4 linked regions of the Arabidopsis thaliana genome follow. The protein of the gene in region 2 interacts with the protein of the main gene of each other region in a pairwise test. Each region holds a gene or a part of one and is shown on either strand. Other genes may lie near its edges. The genes, in order: AT3G10260, AT5G07730, AT3G54120 and ATG8F.

Region 1 (4,738 bases), on a different chromosome or scaffold from region 2:
AAATCGATTCGAATCTGTACAAGTTCAAAAATTTATATCAAATCATTAGAGGTTTTTATCTCCCACTAATGAAACAAGGTTCTTTCTCTAGGTTTCAAATCCAAAAAAAAACAAAAAAAAACAGAAAAAAACAGAGAATCAGAAATACAAAATAATTCACAAATAAGAACAGATTGAGAATCATCTATTTTACCCCAAACTAAACCTCAACACTTCGAATCGATTTCGTCTTCAAATACAACCGGATCACATCAAATCAACAACAATAACAAAAAAAAAAAAGAACATCAAAACGATCAAGAAAACAAATTCGATTAGCTTAAGAAACACAAATTTCATAAGCAAAAGAGCACCTTTAATCGGAGAAGATTCGAGAGAGAAAGAGGTGGAGATGGAACCTAACCTCACTTTGTTGATCGATCGTGGATCAATTTCTTTACTCCATTTTCTTTGATTTACTTCTTTTTATATTTCTTTCTTTTAAATTTTTTAATTTTAACATTCAGGCTTCGAAGCTCAGGAAGCTGACACGTGTAAAATGTTTGACAATGGTGGATCCCATACCTGTAGAGTTATCTGATCTTCTTATTAGCCAGCCGGTCAATATTAGTCAACGATTCTTACGAAATAAGAAAACCATACTTTTGATTTGTGAAATAATTTTGATTCAAACTTGTTTTAAGTCTTACATTTTTAGACATTGAGTTAATGAACTCTCAATCTACTTGTATAATTTTGACAGATATGATGATTCTCTTATTAACCAAGGTATTGACAAATACATGGACAAGGTATTGTTTAGTAAGGAAATACACAAAATCTACATGAATGAATAATATTCTCAAAACATTCATTTAGCAAACCATAATCCATATTGTTCTAACAACAAACAAGGTAAAATAAGAAAATGCTTGAGTGATTTAGTCACTCACGCTTCTTTAATCCAAACTTTCCACTTGGGATTCTACTGAGAAACCCAGTATCAAGCTTCTTGTAATGACTATGAAACTTCATGATCATAGAATCCATAAAACCATCCACTTCGTCTTCGTATCTCTCATACAGAACCGGCATTGTGTGTGCCCCAACAAACCCTTCACACACACACATAAAATGCATCCCTTTAAAGTCTTGTATTACTCAACTTCCAATCTCAAAAGAGGATACACTAATAAGAACCACTCACCGATATACAAAACAGTTAGGAAATTGCAACAGCTCCCGACCATTGCAGCTACCCATAGTCCGATTACAGCCTGAAAAATGATATTGTGATCAAAGTTTCTATCTTAGCATAGTAATGAAAGTGCTAATACATTATACAAACAAGATTGTGGTTATTGAAACAAACAACGCACCATGAGGAACTGTTTCAAATTCCCTTTACAAGCCAAGTCCTGAAGAAACAACAAACCGCGGTTAACTTCTTTTCCAACGGCCACACCGACTTCAGCAAAGAAATCCTTTGGAAGAACTAGGCGAGGCACTCTAGACTGTGAGCTGCTTTGAGACATTAAAGGACATTGTGTTAGATTGCAATCACAAGGTACCAATAATAATGACAACAACACTCCAACAAGTTACCGGTTTAAGAATCCAGAGGCGTTAGACCAAACGAATTGTGCAATCATACCAAGCAAGAGGGCATAGCAAACGAGAGACAGGAAATGGAAATTGATCCATTCAAAAAGCACCCAAATTGCGGTAGCTCCCATCAAAACACTTGCAGAGATCTTCTTGTTCCTCCATAACAACACATCAGCAGCTGAAGGAATCTCTCAATACTCAATTACAAGAAAAACCAATCTCATATTTATGTTCCTGTATACGAATTCTTACATTTGCCACCGCCTAAGACATGATGAATTGGCTTCTGGCGATCAAACAAACGGTTGAAACGAGAACTGACGGAATCTTCTTGTTCGAAGAAGGAGGAACCATGTTTGTTCTTCTGAACAGTCTCCGTGAAGTTATCCACCAAATCACCGATAACGTCCTCTACGATGTTCTTGTCAGGCATGATTCTGAAACACAATCGAAATCTGAGATTGCTCAATTTGCAGATGAAAGTTGACTTCATAAAAAATTGAATCTTTTGATCAGTTCTTCATACCCTAAACCCAAAACCATTTCGAGTAATCAAATTTGGTCTTAACAGTTCGTTGGTGATAATTACAATGATATAAAACTTAGATCTTAGTATATTTGGCGAGAAGACAAGAACAACAAAAAGACCAGAAATTGAAGAGCAAGAACGAGACAAAGATGAAGATGAGTAAGAGTAAACCTGTAGGAACTGGAGAAGAAGAAGAAGAAGAAAAACCTTGGTTGTTCTGTGAATTTCACCCAAAAAAAGTTGCTTTCTTTCGTTGAAGATTCTCTCAATCACGAAGAAAGATGGAGGGCGGAAGTGAAACAAGAGATGGGATTGGTTGTGTCGAATAATTGAATTACAAAAAAATGTTTTTTTCAAAATGTGGGCAAATGTTGGAGTAGTGTGTAGTAATAATGGATAGGACTTGTCTTCCCACGTGTAGCTCATGACAATAAACAAATTATTTTTTAAGAAGTATTATTGGACGCCAAAAAAAGAGTTGAAACGTATCGTTTGTATTTGCAAGACAAACAAAAAGAAGTTTTCTGAGTAGATTTATCAACCGTTACAAGCCTTGTTGAAAATAAAAAAATTTCATTTATTCAATGAATTAAAGTCACACTAATATGGTTGACTGGTTGTTACATGCGTGATGCGTTCATAACACTGCTTTAGGTTGTTCAGGAAGAACAAAAATCATGTTTAATTCACTATATACCTACCAAATCGAAAAATAAACTTGTTAATTATCGATCACTCTGCGATCGCTAGTAAAACATCAGTCAAAACTTAACCTCGAATACAATTAAAATCAATACAACAGGCAGAGAAGATATTCATTGCACAATAGTTACCTTCTCATCTTCCTTCTAATCATTAGTTTTAACTTCGTCGCATGCATGATTTTCAGGAATGCCAAATTGTTGAAGTCATAATATATAGTAAATACCTAGTGAATGCAAATTTCTCTTGTCTCTAGAAAAATTCTAGTTCCAATGGAAAGAAACGCCCAACAAAGAGCCTTGTGAATTGCTAAATTTTGACATTGAAAGAGATAATCCTAACAATGAATTTTGTCCTTTATAGGCCAGAAGAAGAACAAAATCCTGTTGGCCTGTGACTATATGATTTAACCTTGAAATGATGATGTCTCCCTTTGCATTTCACCAGAGTCGTTTCTTTGTTGTTTGTATATAGCTGAAGCAATAACTATAAGCTGTGTTATATGTCGAGATTCTCCAGATTCATCCTAGTCGCAGCACTTTTGATGAGTTCCTTCCTGACATCGACCTGAAACATACACAGAACATAACATTGTCACGATGAGTTATGCCAGTTTATTGACTATTATCATGAGTCCGAGTCTGGCAATTCATTGGCTTACCCGAGCACCCATCAGAGATGAGAAGACCATATTCGTTTCTGCTGCGTCGTCAACAACTAGTTGCTTCAATATCCTTGTATCTGGATTCATCGTTGTTTCCCATAGCTGCGCAGGCATCATCTCACCCAAACCTGCAGATGCAAAAGCAAGAAACATTACATAGAATCCAATAGTTGAGACTAATCTAGATTTCGTTATGCACACACTCAAGAGTATCTTAATAGCTAACACATAACAACTACTATACATTACTTTTCATAGTTATTTATCCTTTCCAAAAGAACACATTCATGATGTGAGAAGTAGGATGTTTTACCTTTGAACCTCTGAATGTTGTAGGATGCGTTTCCAGGGAACGAAGCAGTGATTTTTTTAAGAGCTGCATCATCGTAGCAGTAGTGCGCCTGTTTCCCCCTCTCAACCTGATCGTTTTCACAGAGAGACTAGCTTTAGAAAAAAATTCCGTTCAATCTGAAGCATAAGATTATAGATACTAAGAGCTTACCTTGAAAAGAGGTGGAACACCAACGTATATGCAACCCGCGTCAAACAAGGCTCTCTGTAGAAAGTAAATTTCATTAAATTTCACATAACTCAATCAGCAATCAAGGCTACTTCAACTAATGTTTTATCAAACTAAACTAGTACCTGATATCTGAAGAAAAAGGTCAACAGAAGTGTCCGGATATGTGCACCATCAACATCTGCATCTGTTAAGATGATAATTTTATGGTAACGCAGATTCTCCTTGTTAAAATCTTCTCCCTGAAATAAGTTTTATGTCAAACTGAGTTTTCCGAACATACCAACAAACAGCAGGATATGAAAAAGGATATATTACCTTAACTCCAAGACCAAGGCCAAGAATAAGATTTTGAATTTCTTCGTTCTTATACATTGCTGCTTCATCCTTTCTCTCAATATTCAAAATTTTGCCTCTCAAAGGAAGAATTGCCTGCATAGATCGAAATACAGTGTTACAGACTAACAAAATAGAAGCAGAGCCTGTTAGTGACACGCTGAGCAGAATGATTTTTTTTACCTGGAAACGCCTGTCACGACCCTGTTTCGCGCTGCCACCAGCCGAATCTCCTTCGACAATGAAAATCTCTGGTAGCATAGGAGATAGATGTCAATAAACTGACTAACTTTCACAGCTTACAAGGCACTTTCATATTGGTTAATGCATACCAGATTCTGCAGGATCTGTAGATGAGCAATCTGCAAGTTTCCCAGGAAGTGAGGATGACTTCAAAACG
Region 2 (4,395 bases):
ATCCCGGTTTGGGAGATGAAAGATGGCCTTTTATTACTCACTTTGTTGGATGCAAACCGTGTGGGAGTTATGCTGATTACGCGGTTGAACGTTGCTTGAAGAGTATGGAGCGAGCATTCAACTTTGCGGATAATCAAGTGCTCAAACTGTATGGGTTTGGTCACAGGGGATTGTTAAGTCCTAAGATCAAGAGGATCAGAAACGAGACAACATTTCCATTGAAATTCGTAGACAGGTTTGATATTCGGAGAACAACACCGCTCAAGATTGAAGCACGAAGCTAGCAGCTGATGAACCAGTTTCAGTTTGGTAAAGCACAATCAGTTCCTACTTAACTGAACAAAATGCTACATTGTTTCAAAGCTCACTTCTCTTTCTTATATTTTTACCCAATATATAAAGTCAATATATTCTTTTGTTAAACTTGAACAGAAGATGAATTATCAATTTGTTCAAGTACCTTTCAATGCAAAGATCTAGTTTTGCAGAATCCTAAGTATGAAGTGAAGTAACTCTGACTCGTAACAATGGGAAAATTTACATCTTTATCTCAATTGAGAGATTAAAATGGAAGAATTTTACAGAAAGAGAGTGGCTTGCGAAATAATATAAACAAGAAACAAAAGAATCAATAAGCTAAAATGGTTTGAATTTGTGATGGATCATCTTCTTCTTGATACAATGTCCTTGTGGTGCTTTAACAGTAACTCATTCATTTGAGCAAGTTGATGCAAAAGCTGAACTATCCTCTGTTTCAAAATCAGAAAACAATAGTAATGTCACGTCTCTTAGGCATTTCATCAAACACTTTGTATGCACAAAAACATACCTCGTCTCTCTCTTTGATCACATCTCGAAGATGATCCATGTTTTCTCCTTTAACGCGTTTCCGAGGAGCTCGTACACGCATCCACCACCAAATCGCAATGGCAAGAACTGGATAAAATGATCGGATAGTCTTTGAGAACCAGGTCAACAAATTCTTCAACTTGGAGTATAAACGTACAAGAAGAGGCTCCCACCAATCGTGGAGGACATCAACTTCACGATTCAATGGTTTCCCCAGTAATTTCCCATCTGAATCGCATGGTGGAGACTTGCCGCCTTGTTCAGAAGGTAATCGCGGAGATATCTGTTCAAATGGCGACTGTTCCCCCGAATCGGACGGTGGAGATTCACCGCTTAACAACAACGGCAGAGATTTTTCTTCAGTTTCCGACGGAGCCTTCCGGTCAAATTCAAACGCAGTCAGTGACGTTTGTCCATCTGAATCAGAAGGAAACAACGAAAAAGAAGAAGATGAACCAGAGCGTCTCGACGAAGATGACGGAGACGAGGATTCCGACGGAGATTCGAGGTATCTATCGACTCCATAGACGGAAGAAGCGACATGGAGATTCTCATGGTAGATCGGCGGGAACACAACGCCATCGTCCTTGGCGAAAATTGGCGATTCTCTGATGACAACCATTGACGAACTGTGATCCAATGGACCAATCAGGTGTTGTTCACAATAATGATCTTCATCTTCAGCCATCTTCAGTTGGATTTGCTGGAGGAATTATCTCGCTAGGGTTTGCTTGTGAGAAAGAAACAGTTGGAGGAAGAAGAAGAAGGACAAATCCATGAAAGTTTCAAACTTTTGGGATCCAAGAAGAACACGTGATTGTTGCTTTTCGCTGATTCGTTTAAGAAAATCTGGTCATACACACGTGCCATCTCATTTTCTCGCGCAATTTTCTTTTGTATTAATTAGTTTATCACACGTGCCGTCTCATTGTCTGAACTGAATCCTAAAAAGAACATTGATGTTAAGGTATACAAAGTTACACACTAAATAGACAAAATGCTCTACATCTCTCACTCTCTCTACCTGAAACCTATACAACATTCCAATCTATCAAAAATTCCTCTAATCAGGAAATAAAAAACAGGAAAGAATTCTAATTTACAAGTTAGAATTAAATCAATGTGGAGTCAATCATGTTAAACGTGAGTGGCGAAAAGACCTGTCTCTTAATCTTTCGATGGTTCCTCGATAGCCCCCGCCAGGCGAAACCGCTCCCCATAGGACCCGAGCCTGTTTTTTTAACCGCACTAAGCATCCAATGCCGCTTTGCGGAAAGGTTTACTTGAACAGCACCACCGCCTCTTTGCTGGCTTACAAGACTAGCTCAGTTCTCTTGAGAGGTTGAGGCGGAATTTGCAAATTGATACTTAAGTTTTTCGTCAGCTATCATCAACTGGTTTCTTTGTGAGGTTGACTCCTTTTGCCTTCTCCATTTCCGCTTCCTTAAGAGCTTTCTTCTTCTCTAGCTCCGCTTGCTTGACATTCTCTTCGTGTGCTTTCTTAAACAACCTTATAAAATTCAAGAGGGTTGCAGTAACTGCAGCAGTCCATTACCCGGTATTATTATTAGCTACATAACACTTCCAACTAAATAACGATTAGGGACTTTTTCTTTTTCTATGTATTGCCCAAGAGGATTTAAGTTTATAGATTCCTCGTCATACCTTGTTCAAATGGACAACGGTTAGGATCCTCGCCAAAATAGTGAGCAAGAGCATCAGCATTTCTTCCCTGCCGTCCAACATAAGAAACAACACAAAAATCATTTTCAGGATCAACCACATTGTCAAGGTAAAGGCGCTTGGAATCTAGTAGAGGTTGACAAATTACCACGACCGAGTAAAGACTCGATACAGTTGCCACTTCAGTCTCAGCAACGGATATGAAGTCCCCCAATGTCTGTTATCAAAGCATAAAAGTAGGTTTTAGGATCAGGAAGAAATTAACTCTATAAACAAAACCCAACTGAAGAATTATTTTCCAGCGGGTTATTGATGATTTTAAAAGTGATACAGATTTAGTAATGTGGCACAATCATGGAACTAATCTCAATTTCATGATAGATAAGATGTGCAAAAGGAAAATTAAAAAACCCAACATACTTTACGGAAAACATCAGAAACAGGACCATCACTTTCGGATGCAGTGAGCTCCTGGTTCAGTTTTTCCAATCCTTTGATTATAGCTTGCATTTCCTCAGCCAGAGACTTCAATTGTATCTGCAATAGACAGGACGATCAAATGATGAGCCAATAGAAACTAAGGAGTAGAGGACGAGAAATGAACAACTGCAAACCTTCGAGGCTGATTCAAGACTTTCAAGATCCTTGGGGAAGTCCAGTAGAACTGATGCCTTTGAAGCAAGGACCTGGAAAAAGAAAGATGAGAGTTTCAGAATTATGTATCTCTCCTGATCCAGACCACTTTTTATAATAACCTTCATCAGAAACTAGATCCTGCTCTTTTTGATTGTCATTTACCTTGCAAAGATAATGCATGAGAGTCATCTTGCTGTTAGCAGCACGTGTATCACTTAATTTCGATAAACTGTCCAACTTGAATCCAACAGCAGCGCCTGCAGAAAGCAAAGCAAGGATCATATCAACCACAAAGGTTATCCGTACAGACAAAACAACTAGCAATGTCTTGTGCAAAAAGATGTAGAACAAGAATAACATAAATAATACTTACCCCTTGCAGTTCCTTGGTTCAATGTGTTCCCCAGGTAAAGAATCTTTTTCATAATTTCTTTTAGCTTTTGTGAAGAGCGGACCTGATGAATAAGCAATAAGTAGAAAATTCTAACAAAGAGAAATGCATATGGACTGCCCAAAAACTAGAGTTAACTATTGCAAGCATCTTACCTCCTCGCACGCAGAATTTACAGCATTTAAACTTTTTTTGAATTCTGTTATCTGCACAAAAAACATCATTATCAATAGTCTAATAAAATTATATTTTGTCCTCCAAAGAATCAAATAGACAGAAAATAACGGTATTAAGTAATTCCACCAGACCTGAGTGCCGAATTGAAATTTAAAAGAAAAGACTCTAAGCTTTGCCTCAACTCGTGGCACCTTCATTAGCTCTAGGAAGTACTGCAATAGCAAAATGGATGACAAAAAATGTATTAACTCAGTAAGCTAATTGCTAACCATTTTATAGTAGAAGCCAAAAACAGTGCGAGATTGGTTGGTAATCTGAAGACTTAAACAGACCTGCTCACACTTTCCCAAGGTCGTCTTGTCACCAGTGTAGTTCTAGAACAAACCAGACAATTACGACCAAGAACAAGGACTCATGTCAATAACAAGTGAATAATGATAACCAATAATTGACATATTTCACAAATGATCTCCAAAGTAAAGACAGAAATAGATAATGCTACTCAAAAGTCAAGACGTAACCTTAAGTAGCTCCATCTCCTCCTTGGTTGGGCAAAACTTTATAAGATTCTCTATTTGATCAACATCTAGTACAGACTCATCCATTGCCAGAACTGCAGCCTGGACGATGCAAAGAAAAATTTGAATAATTATCATCAA
Region 3 (4,168 bases), on a different chromosome or scaffold from region 2:
CTGTGCGCCGTACACTGCGTCAACACGGTGTTGCAAGGGCCTTTCTTCTCTGAATTCGATTTGGCTGCCGTCGCCGCCGATCTAGACGGGAAGGAGCGTCAGGTTATGCTTGAAGGTGCTGCCGTTGGAGGTTTTGCTCCCGGCGATTTCTTAGCTGAAGAGTCGCACAATGTTTCCCTCGGCGGCGATTTTAGTATCCAGGTACGAATTCGCGATGAAATTGATAAATCTTGAGTTGCATTCAACATTTATATATTGTAAAGCCTTTTTGTTATTGTGTTGTTGGAAGTTTAGGCAAAATTAGGGTTTCGATTTTATGGTGCTTTTGATTGCTGTGTTTATGCTGAAGTGATAAACTTTTGAATGGTTGGATTCGTTTTTAGATAGATTCAAGAAGAATTGAGATCAGTAATGGTGTGAATTTGCGATCTTTACTTTGGGTTAAAACTCATTTGTTGAAGGCTAGTTTCATTGTGCGAACATTGCTATGCTGATAAATGGAGGAACTTGAGATGATTTTTTTTATCTTGGGACTCAATTGTTTTGGATATGTTAGTTATTAGTGAGGTTCTGTATATTCAATTATCATCTTTTGTTTCTTGGATAGCTTTAAACCGAGTTGGTTGATAACTTGATATTTGATTAGGTTGCTACAAAAGTCAGGTTTGATTGCAAGATTTATGTATTGAGATTCAAGGGTATAGTATGGTGTTTTACATCACATTTTTAGATATCTAAAATTAAAGCTATTTTAACGGATTACGTTGAAGTTGGATGCGGATAAAACACTGCAAACAGAGGGTTTATGCGATTGGTGTAGCATTTTAATCTTGCAAAGTTGATCTAGTCTTTGCTTATTCGTTTAACTGAGAATGCTTCTGTTTGATTGACAGGTCTTGCAAAAAGCTTTGGAAGTGTGGGATCTACAAGTAATTCCACTCAATTGTCCAGATGCAGAGCCTGCGCAGATAGACCCTGAGCTTGAAAGCGCCTTTATCTGCCACTTGCATGACCATTGGTTTTGTATAAGGAAAGTGAATGGCGAATGGTATAACTTTGATAGTCTCCTTGCTGCCCCGCAACATTTATCGAAGTTCTACCTTTCTGCGTTCTTAGACTCTCTCAAAGGCGCAGGATGGAGTATCTTCATAGTGAAAGGAAACTTCCCTCAGGAATGTCCCATGTCGTCTTCTTCTGAAGCTTCCAATAGTTTCGGGCAGTGGCTTTCTCCTGAAGACGCAGAGAGAATAAGAAAGAACACGAGCTCAGGTTCTTCTGCCAGAAACAAGAGAAGTAATGACAATGTTAATCAACAAAGACGGAATCAGGCATTGTCACGTGAGGAAGTGCAGGCTTTTTCAGAGATGGAAGATGATGACTTGAAGGCAGCAATTGCAGCAAGTTTGCTTGATGCTTCTGCTGCTGAGGCCAATCTCGGAGCTGTGGGCACTTCTGAAAAGGAAACTGAGAAACAAAAGTAGCAGAGAAAATAGAGAACAAGTGTTATTGATGGAGGTGGTGGGATATTCACTTTTGTTTCTTTGTTTTGGTTTGTTATCAAGAGTTATCAACAATTTTACATACAGAACAGAGAAAGAAAAAAGCTTACATCGAAAGATAGAAAACAGAGGATAATAAATGGTTTGTGGAATTGTTTTTGTTTGATTTTTTTACCATATTAAATTCTTCTGACAATCTTAAATTGAGGATAAAGATTCGACCTTTTCGAATTCATAGGAAACTACATCTGAAAAGGGTACATAAATTACTTCAGTTGACTAAAAGTAGATGAATGACCAATTTAAATGTGTTCTATGGAAAATATAAAAGGATGGTGTAAAATTTGATTCATCTCTAAGTACAATCTGGCGAACTTTTACAGTTTGAAAAAAACAAGAAGGATAACACTTTTAGGCTGGAAATAAAAACATCGAGAGGACAACAAACACCTTCTTTTTCCCTAAACAGAGCATAGCCTTTGAATTATTAATTAATTATTTGTATATTCAAAGTTGATGGCTTTGATGATGATGGTGATGACCCAACTTTAGTCTCTTCTTCACTTTTTATTTTTACTTTCTTTGTGATACATCAGGTTCCTTCGATTCGAGCCTTTAGGATTTCCTTTCACATAATGATCTGTTTCTGACATTCAGAGAAAGATATACATATCTGGGTTACTTTTGGGATCTGATCATCTGAGGAAATCTGAATCCAAGTTTGCTCTGATCTTTCTTCTCAAATGAGTTCTTCTTCGGACAAGTTGTTCAACAGAGACAGGACAATACATGAGATTCTGGGAGGAGGCATTGGTTAGTGAATACATTTCTTTACCAAATCCAAAACTTATAAAAGCTAGGTGATCTCTCACCTCTATAGCCTTTTTTTTTTCTTGTTATGAAATGAATCTGCAGTTGCAGATGTGATGCTGTGGAGGAAGAAGAATGTGAGTGTTGGTATAGTTACAGTGACAATAGCTTCATGGATGGTGTTTGAGGCATTTGCTTACACTATCTTTACTCTTATTTCAAGTGTTCTTCTTCTCTTGCTCTCTATTCTCTTCCTCTGGTCCAAATCTGCTTCCATTCTCAACAGGTATATTAATATTCACTTGTAACTAATATTACTTCATTTCTGATTCAATTTCTTGGCTCTTCAGGCCATCACCGCCGTTACCGGAGTTTCAAATAAGTGAAGCGATGGCGGAAGAAGCTTCGATATGGTTACGTATTCATGTGAACAAGCTACTCCAAGTTTCGCATGACATTGCAATGGCAAGAGACTCAGAGTTGTATACCAAAGTAGCAGTGTCACTGTTTCTTCTCTCATTGATCGGAAGTCTCATGGATTTTCAGACACTTTGCCACACCAGTAAGTAGATATTCTAAAACTCCTATAGACTTGGAATGCTTTTGAGCTGGATATTCATTTTGTGGTTGTTCTTGGTTAATTTGGCAGGCGTTTTGGTGGTTATGACGGTTCCAGCTTTCTATGAGAGATATGAGGATTACATTGTTGGCTCTATTGAGTTTATCTGCAACAAAACTAGAGAGCTTTACCTTAGACTCGAGATATGGGCTAATCCGGAAAATAAGAAACTGAGCTGAGATGCTGTCACCTCTTTCTTCTTCAGGAGTTTCTTTTTCTGATTTTTCTCGGTTTTGTGGAAAGAAAGGAGAAAAATGTATGATTTTTGATAAATGTTGGATGGTACAGCCAATATATGAGCAATCCACAGAAATTTTATTTCACAGTTTTACTCGAAAACTGAATCTCTATTCCGAAAACAATATTCGACCAAGTTCTGGCCTCTCTCAATCACCGAAAATGAAGAAGAAAACAATGTTGCTCTTATTCCCTCTGCTTAAAACTATGTGTCTCAGTTTCTTTTGGACGCATCGAGTTCCCGGACATACTTCTTTGCCTGGATTAGAGTATTAAGAACCCGGATTAGAAAATGAGAAAGAAGACTTTGCGTGACCGATTCGAATGCGATTGCGATAAAATAAAAATTCTATCAGTTGTTACCTGTTCGAGGGTCAAAAACATGATTACGTTCCATGAGCCAAGGCGTCCAAAGTTGGGGATGAAACCCTTGTAAAATGCCATAGGACCCTGTAGAGGAAACCGTAAAGAGTTTGTAACATTTTCTGGGTTATATCTAGAACAATGGAGGTATCAGAAGCAGAGTTGCTTACGTCGCTCTTCAGAGTTTTGACGAAGCAGTCAATGGTGCCCTTGTAAGCACCAGAATCTCCCATCATTCTTGACTTAACCTGCCACACAACAAGATTTAAGTAGACAATCAGGAAACGTGGTGAATAAACTCAAGGTTCAATGTCATGAGTAAATACTTTACCACGTCGACAGGAGAGCCGATGCAGACAGCAAAGAATCCTGCTCCCAGTCCAGATAGAATATGTGTGACAACGTTGTCAGTGAAACCCGGAATCTTCAAGATCGTCTGAACACAAAAAAAAAAAGGAATGTTGGTTGCTTCAAATATCAGGATCTCTTATTTAGAAAGAGAGACAGAGAACATATTAGTTTCATACCTCTTTCACTTGATCGTAACTCGCTAATTCAGCAGCATTGATAATAGCGTTTCTTGCTACGTTAGGTCCAAGACCAGTCCAAAGAGCTCGGACTCCTTCCTGTCAGAGCCACA
Region 4 (5,053 bases), on a different chromosome or scaffold from region 2:
CTCGGTTTAGTTTCTGTATTTAAGATCTCTTGTACATTCAAAGCTTAATGAAGAATTTTCACAATTCTGTTTCTCAAATGTTGAAAATCTTTTATGCAATACCCATAAGAAACAGAGTAATTAATAGGAAGCACCTTGTTTGTTGTATACGAGGAGAAATAGAGAACAAAGAAGTTGGTCATGAATATATATAGAGATAGCACAAGAGTCATTACAACCACCAACATGGTGAATGCATATGCATATAACAGTATGATATATTTAGAGAGACTGGTATATATGGATCGGGTAATTAAGACTTCTCGTTGTGGATCGGAGGCTTACGATGAGGCTGAGGATAATCCATGACTACTACTTCTTCCCCTGTCTCGACTCCACCCAACGCCCGCCTCCTTTCTCCACCATTGAAGACGTCCAAAGAAGCAACCTTGTGATGATGATGCTTATGTGACCTTAAACGACGAGCGGCAGAGGCACATCCAACATTGGAAGACAAAAGCAGAAGAATGAAACAGAACACTATCACGAGTCCACTCCTCAAAGAGCAAGACATGACTTCTCTTATTCTTCTTCTTGTTCTTGAGATACTTGTGTATATATGCTGTGTCTGTATACAGGGAGATGAGACTAGAGCAGGACAAAGAAAGTTTGAAATGTTGTTAATTGGTGTAAGAGAAGAGAAGAGGGAAGGAGAGTATTTGTAGGCAGAAGAGAGTAAAGAGAGTAAGACAAGCATTAAATACAGGTGGGGGGAGGGGTCCTTCATTATCATAACATGCTCTTGTTCCTCTTCTCTTTTATTTCTTTTTAATCTTCTCTCTTGTCTATTATTCAAATATATTTTACATTCAACATACATATCTATCGTATGTATATGGGTGTCTTGATCGGCCAAACCTTTTGTCTACTTGAGAGTCTTCGTGGGGTCATCATCTCCTGCATTCTCATTTTCCTTTCTTCCATTTGCTCACCTTATTCTCCGGTTCTTCACCTTTTTCATCCACGCCATTATTGTATGACCGACGTGTTTACTCTCTTAAGTCCTAATCGATCACCTTCTTATCACTACACTATTTGACATTGATTTCTTTGGACAAAACACTCACAAGTTATGAAAAGCTTTTACATTCAACTTTCACTTCAATGGTCCAAAATCCCAAAAACACAACCGCGTCTCTCATGTTCCACGTGACCGGTTGGAACCTTGAATTACAATCTTTGACGATCATAAATCGAGCTAAAACTGTGAACAAATAAATATATGAAACAAAAATCAATATTGAAAAGTGTAAGATGAGAAACAAGCCAGCATGGTCCGACCGTCTCCTCCTTCTCTCCGTCAACGACAATGTGGGACCTTTATAAGATCGTCGCCGGCCAACCTTCAACCGGTACCGACCATGTCTGCCACGTGGCACAGTTCCCTTGTGCTTGCACTTCTATTGAGTTTGGTGATATAACTTCTCTTCACTTAGGCTTTGCAATTTGGAACTGTCATGGCCCATGTGCCATAAGCGACGTGTTATGTCGGCTTATAGATTGAAGACATCAAAAAAAACACAACAAAGTCAAGAGGGAGATGTGATAGATTCACCTAAAGTAGGTTTTTAGATCCTTGAAAGAAGATTATATACATTATTTTATGTTTTCTGTACATATTAACGCCCGACCAAAGGTCCTTAGAGAATAAGTACATAGGTGGCTTGCTTGCTTAGTAATTAATAAGAAGATGAAATATTTGGTGAAAATAGAGAGGAGTAAAATGAAATATCCAGCAAGAGGTCTCTATTATGGAGATCCAAATCCAAATGTGTTTTCTCCGCTGTAAGTGACATAGAGGAACCCATCATCATCCTTTTTCTCTTCGTACACAGAAGACATGAGCGCACCTGCAAAGTTACCAGATCAGATCAGCCAAATATAAAGAATTTATAATCACCGGGGAACATATAAGTAGACGCCTTCTTATGCTCTTGTTACTTGTGTTAAAAGATAATGAAACTCCTGAGTCTTGAATACAGAGGAGATCTATCTGTTTACCTGCTGGAGGAAGAACATTGTCCACGAATATGAAGATAGCCTTTTCTGCACTCAATTTGATTCTTTTGCGAATGACATACACAAACTGCCCCACAGTCAGATCAGCCGGGACTAGGTACCTGCAAATTTGAAAAAAGCTTAGTTATCAATCACTATTATTAACAAGTCAGGTCCGAATGAAAAGGATACTGATGCCATTTATATGCTTACTTTTTCTTGTCGATGGTTGGTATATCACTCTTCTCAGCCTTCTCAACAATCACCTGGATCCCACAAAAATATAAATGCGTGGAAATCATCATCTCAAGTGTCATTTTTACCATGTGAATCATAAAGCACGTAGCCACATGAATCATGCAAATCTACTTATCTAAGCCGTAAGTACTCAGTAAGAATCGAGTTTCAGAAAGTCACGTTCCAAAAAATGACAACTAAATTCAAAGTCCTAATGTTGTTATAGTCACTATAACTCAATCAACTCCATGTAGTTGAAACAGTGGCAAACATATATCACAAGCATGAAGCTAATCAAACAATAATAACTTGATAACCATCCTTTAGTCGGGTAGGGTGTCCATTTAAAACCAGATGCTATCCCAATAAGTTCATTATATCCCAATAAGTTCATTACTACCATATTGCTGGGCCATAAACCACAACAACTTAACCTGCATAAACTCAGTCAAACACAAAAGATTGATCCGAACATAGAAAGGGAAACAATATGCTAATCACATATAACTTTAGAAATGTATGATCGATCAATGTATAAGAGAGACACTGAAAGTCTCACCGGAATCCTATCAGGATACTTCTCTCTAATCCTAGCAGCCTCTGCCCTTCTCTTCTCTGAAGATTTAGGAAACAGGATCATTAGATCAAAGCACAAGGTTTTGATTTCGAGGACCAAACAGTAAAGCAAGAACAAAGCTCAAATCCAAACCTAAGTCATGCTCTTGCTTGAACGAGCTTTTTGCCATTCCTTCCACGCCTACACACACATAACAAATAGGTGACACCAATCAGACAACCATCAAAACAAATTTAACACTCAAATCAAATCATCAATTCCCAAACTCTGGAACTCAGATTATCAAAATTCCCACAAATCTATCAGTCGATCATGTTAAAGACCCAACCTTTAAGTAATCTAAACGAAAGTACAGGATCGCAATCAAACCAAAAAAGAAGTTAAGAACTCAGTGATCAAACCTGTAGACTACAAAGAACGAAGCTTTTCTGCGATCAAACACTTCTCCAGAGCACAACGCTATCGTTGAAGATAACAACAACAATTAACGAAAAAATATGAAAGAAAAAGCAAATAAGCAACCTACAAAAATTCTGCAAAACATTAAAAAATTATGCGATAAGGTCAGAGATTCTCTACAGATGGTGTATGGTAACATCTAAACACTTCAGCTGACGTTGTATGCTTAATCTGTTCAGTGAGAATCTGACGGTAGATATTAGCTATTTACTGAAATAGGAATCTCAACCGTCCATTTTACTGAAGGTGTACGAGGTAACTGTCTACGTAGATATTGCCTCCAACAAAGGATAAAGAAGAACCGGATATGCTGGGATCACGTTTCTGCATACGATATGACACGTTTACCCCTAGAAAATGTGTGTTAGGTGAAGAGTTCGGAAGGGTAATAGTTGGAAATTGAGAATGTCGCTTATAAGCTTTGCCTCTTCTAACAAAATGTAGGGCCTAGTGCAGTAATGGGCCTTGCAAATAAACGGATGGAAATATGAAAACTAATAAATAAAGTATAGGCAGAAGTTTTTTTATGACTGTTATAGAGATCTGGAGATGTAGGTCTTGGTGTATGGACAGCTTAGGATTTCAAGCTTAGGCATTTCGAAATCAAGGGTTGAAAGCAATTACTGTATTTGAGAATATATCTTCAACACTGCACAAAACTCATTTTGTAATTTATTAAAATACCGGAATTGAGTGATTAATGTCAAAACCGAGAATTTACAGGATAACAAAGATAATTAATCAAAATGAATCTTTTATCAAAGTAAGATAAGTTTTCTAACAAGTTTTTTACTTATAGATATAAAATATTATAGTTGTGAAAAGACATAAACATTTTTAAAAGTTAAGATTGAGTTTTCTGAAGTTGAAAAAAAAATCAAAATTATTTTTTAATCATTATCCAAAATCATTACTTAATCCAAACCGATGCCCACCCTAATTATTTAACTATATTAATAAGGTTTGTAAGCAATAGTATATAAAAAGCTAAAAAAAATATAAGGGTATCTCACTACGTATGACACTTATCAAGTTTGTTAGAGCATATGGGGCACATATGTGGGAGTATGCACTTTTTCATGTTTATTTCACTGCACTTTTTCATGTTTATTTCACTGTTTCAAAACAATCAATACAATTATATCCTTACTCTCGTAACCTCAGGTCAAATAGCATGGTTAAGAAATGCCTTTGACGAATGATTTAGCTGTGCAGCAATATATAGTACTTTGAACTGCTCTAATGGGAGTGGATTGTGGATTTTCCTTTCTTCTGTTTCTTAATCTTGACATTAGATTTCCACTCCACCCCATCTTCGTCTAGTACCTTATAAGTCGTTCCAGCAATGTAGAAGGTGACTTTCTTCTCTTCAAGGTACCTCACAAAACGTTTAGCAAACTCAATGGGTGTTGAATGGCTTTTGTACTTTGATAAAAGACTCACAGCAATCTCCTAGTTAGGCTTGAAAATCAAAGTCTTGACAACTCGTTATGCCTCATCAATCACTTTTCCTCTAGCCAAGCCGTCTAAATATGTCCCCATTATTTCAATAGTTGGTTCTATCCATAGAGTCTTGACTATCCTTGCAAGAAGATAATGCCCATACTCAGTTTGTCGAGCATGTGTACAAGTTACCATCACGTTCCAAAATGTTGAGTGAGTTTTGATCAAGGTGGAAGGAATGTTCTCAAAGACTTGGATTGCTTTGAAGCATTCACTATTTGTGCCTAAGGTTGATATAAA

Evidence for each region.
Region 1: the proteins of AT5G07730 (region 2) and AT3G10260 interact in a two-hybrid assay, tested with the Arabidopsis thaliana proteins (one large-scale study listed by BioGRID).
Region 3: the proteins of AT5G07730 (region 2) and AT3G54120 interact in a two-hybrid assay, tested with the Arabidopsis thaliana proteins (one large-scale study listed by BioGRID).
Region 4: the proteins of AT5G07730 (region 2) and ATG8F interact in a two-hybrid assay, tested with the Arabidopsis thaliana proteins (one large-scale study listed by BioGRID).

What each region holds. Positions count from the first base shown.
Region 1 is NC_003074.8:3,170,489-3,175,226, forward strand, and holds AT3G10260 (Reticulon family protein), read right to left. Parts: upstream 2,505-4,738; 5' UTR 2,081-2,504; coding exon 1,840-2,080; intron 1,766-1,839; coding exon 1,585-1,765; intron 1,501-1,584; coding exon 1,359-1,500; intron 1,257-1,358; coding exon 1,187-1,256; intron 1,095-1,186; coding exon 925-1,094; 3' UTR 734-924; downstream 1-733. Other genes in the region: GYRB1 (DNA gyrase subunit B), read right to left, coding at 3,317-3,385, 3,480-3,610, 3,796-3,901, 3,985-4,038, 4,128-4,244, 4,321-4,434, 4,522-4,589, 4,671-4,738.
Region 2 is NC_003076.8:2,456,847-2,461,241, forward strand, and holds AT5G07730 (uncharacterized protein), read right to left. Parts: upstream 1,657-4,395; 5' UTR 1,538-1,656; coding exon 830-1,537; intron 750-829; coding exon 663-749; 3' UTR 501-662; downstream 1-500. Other genes in the region: XXT3 (Galactosyl transferase GMA12/MNN10 family protein), read left to right, coding at 1-284; AT5G07740 (actin binding protein), read right to left, coding at 2,230-2,387, 2,515-2,581, 2,681-2,749, 2,953-3,069, 3,147-3,218, 3,331-3,425, 3,542-3,623, 3,715-3,948 and 2 more.
Region 3 is NC_003074.8:20,040,208-20,044,375, reverse strand, and holds AT3G54120 (Reticulon family protein), read left to right. Parts: upstream 1-2,035; 5' UTR 2,036-2,242; coding exon 2,243-2,312; intron 2,313-2,414; coding exon 2,415-2,595; intron 2,596-2,659; coding exon 2,660-2,871; intron 2,872-2,958; coding exon 2,959-3,107; 3' UTR 3,108-3,250; downstream 3,251-4,168. Other genes in the region: AT3G54130 (Josephin family protein), read left to right, coding at 1-201, 894-1,481; PUMP1 (plant uncoupling mitochondrial protein 1), read right to left, coding at 3,380-3,424, 3,529-3,615, 3,699-3,776, 3,860-3,964, 4,056-4,154.
Region 4 is NC_003075.7:9,305,094-9,310,146, forward strand, and holds ATG8F (Ubiquitin-like superfamily protein), read right to left. Parts: upstream 3,446-5,053; 5' UTR 3,253-3,445; exon of another isoform or gene 3,032-3,252; 5' UTR 3,021-3,031; coding exon 2,984-3,020; intron 2,890-2,983; coding exon 2,834-2,889; exon of another isoform or gene 2,397-2,833; coding exon of another isoform or gene 2,304-2,396; coding exon 2,251-2,303; intron 2,160-2,250; coding exon 2,041-2,159; intron 1,890-2,040; coding exon 1,789-1,889; 3' UTR 1,246-1,788; downstream 1-1,245. Other genes in the region: RGF6 (root meristem growth factor), read right to left, coding at 293-736. UniProt on the Arabidopsis thaliana protein: Ubiquitin-like modifier involved in autophagosomes formation. May mediate the delivery of the autophagosomes to the vacuole via the microtubule cytoskeleton.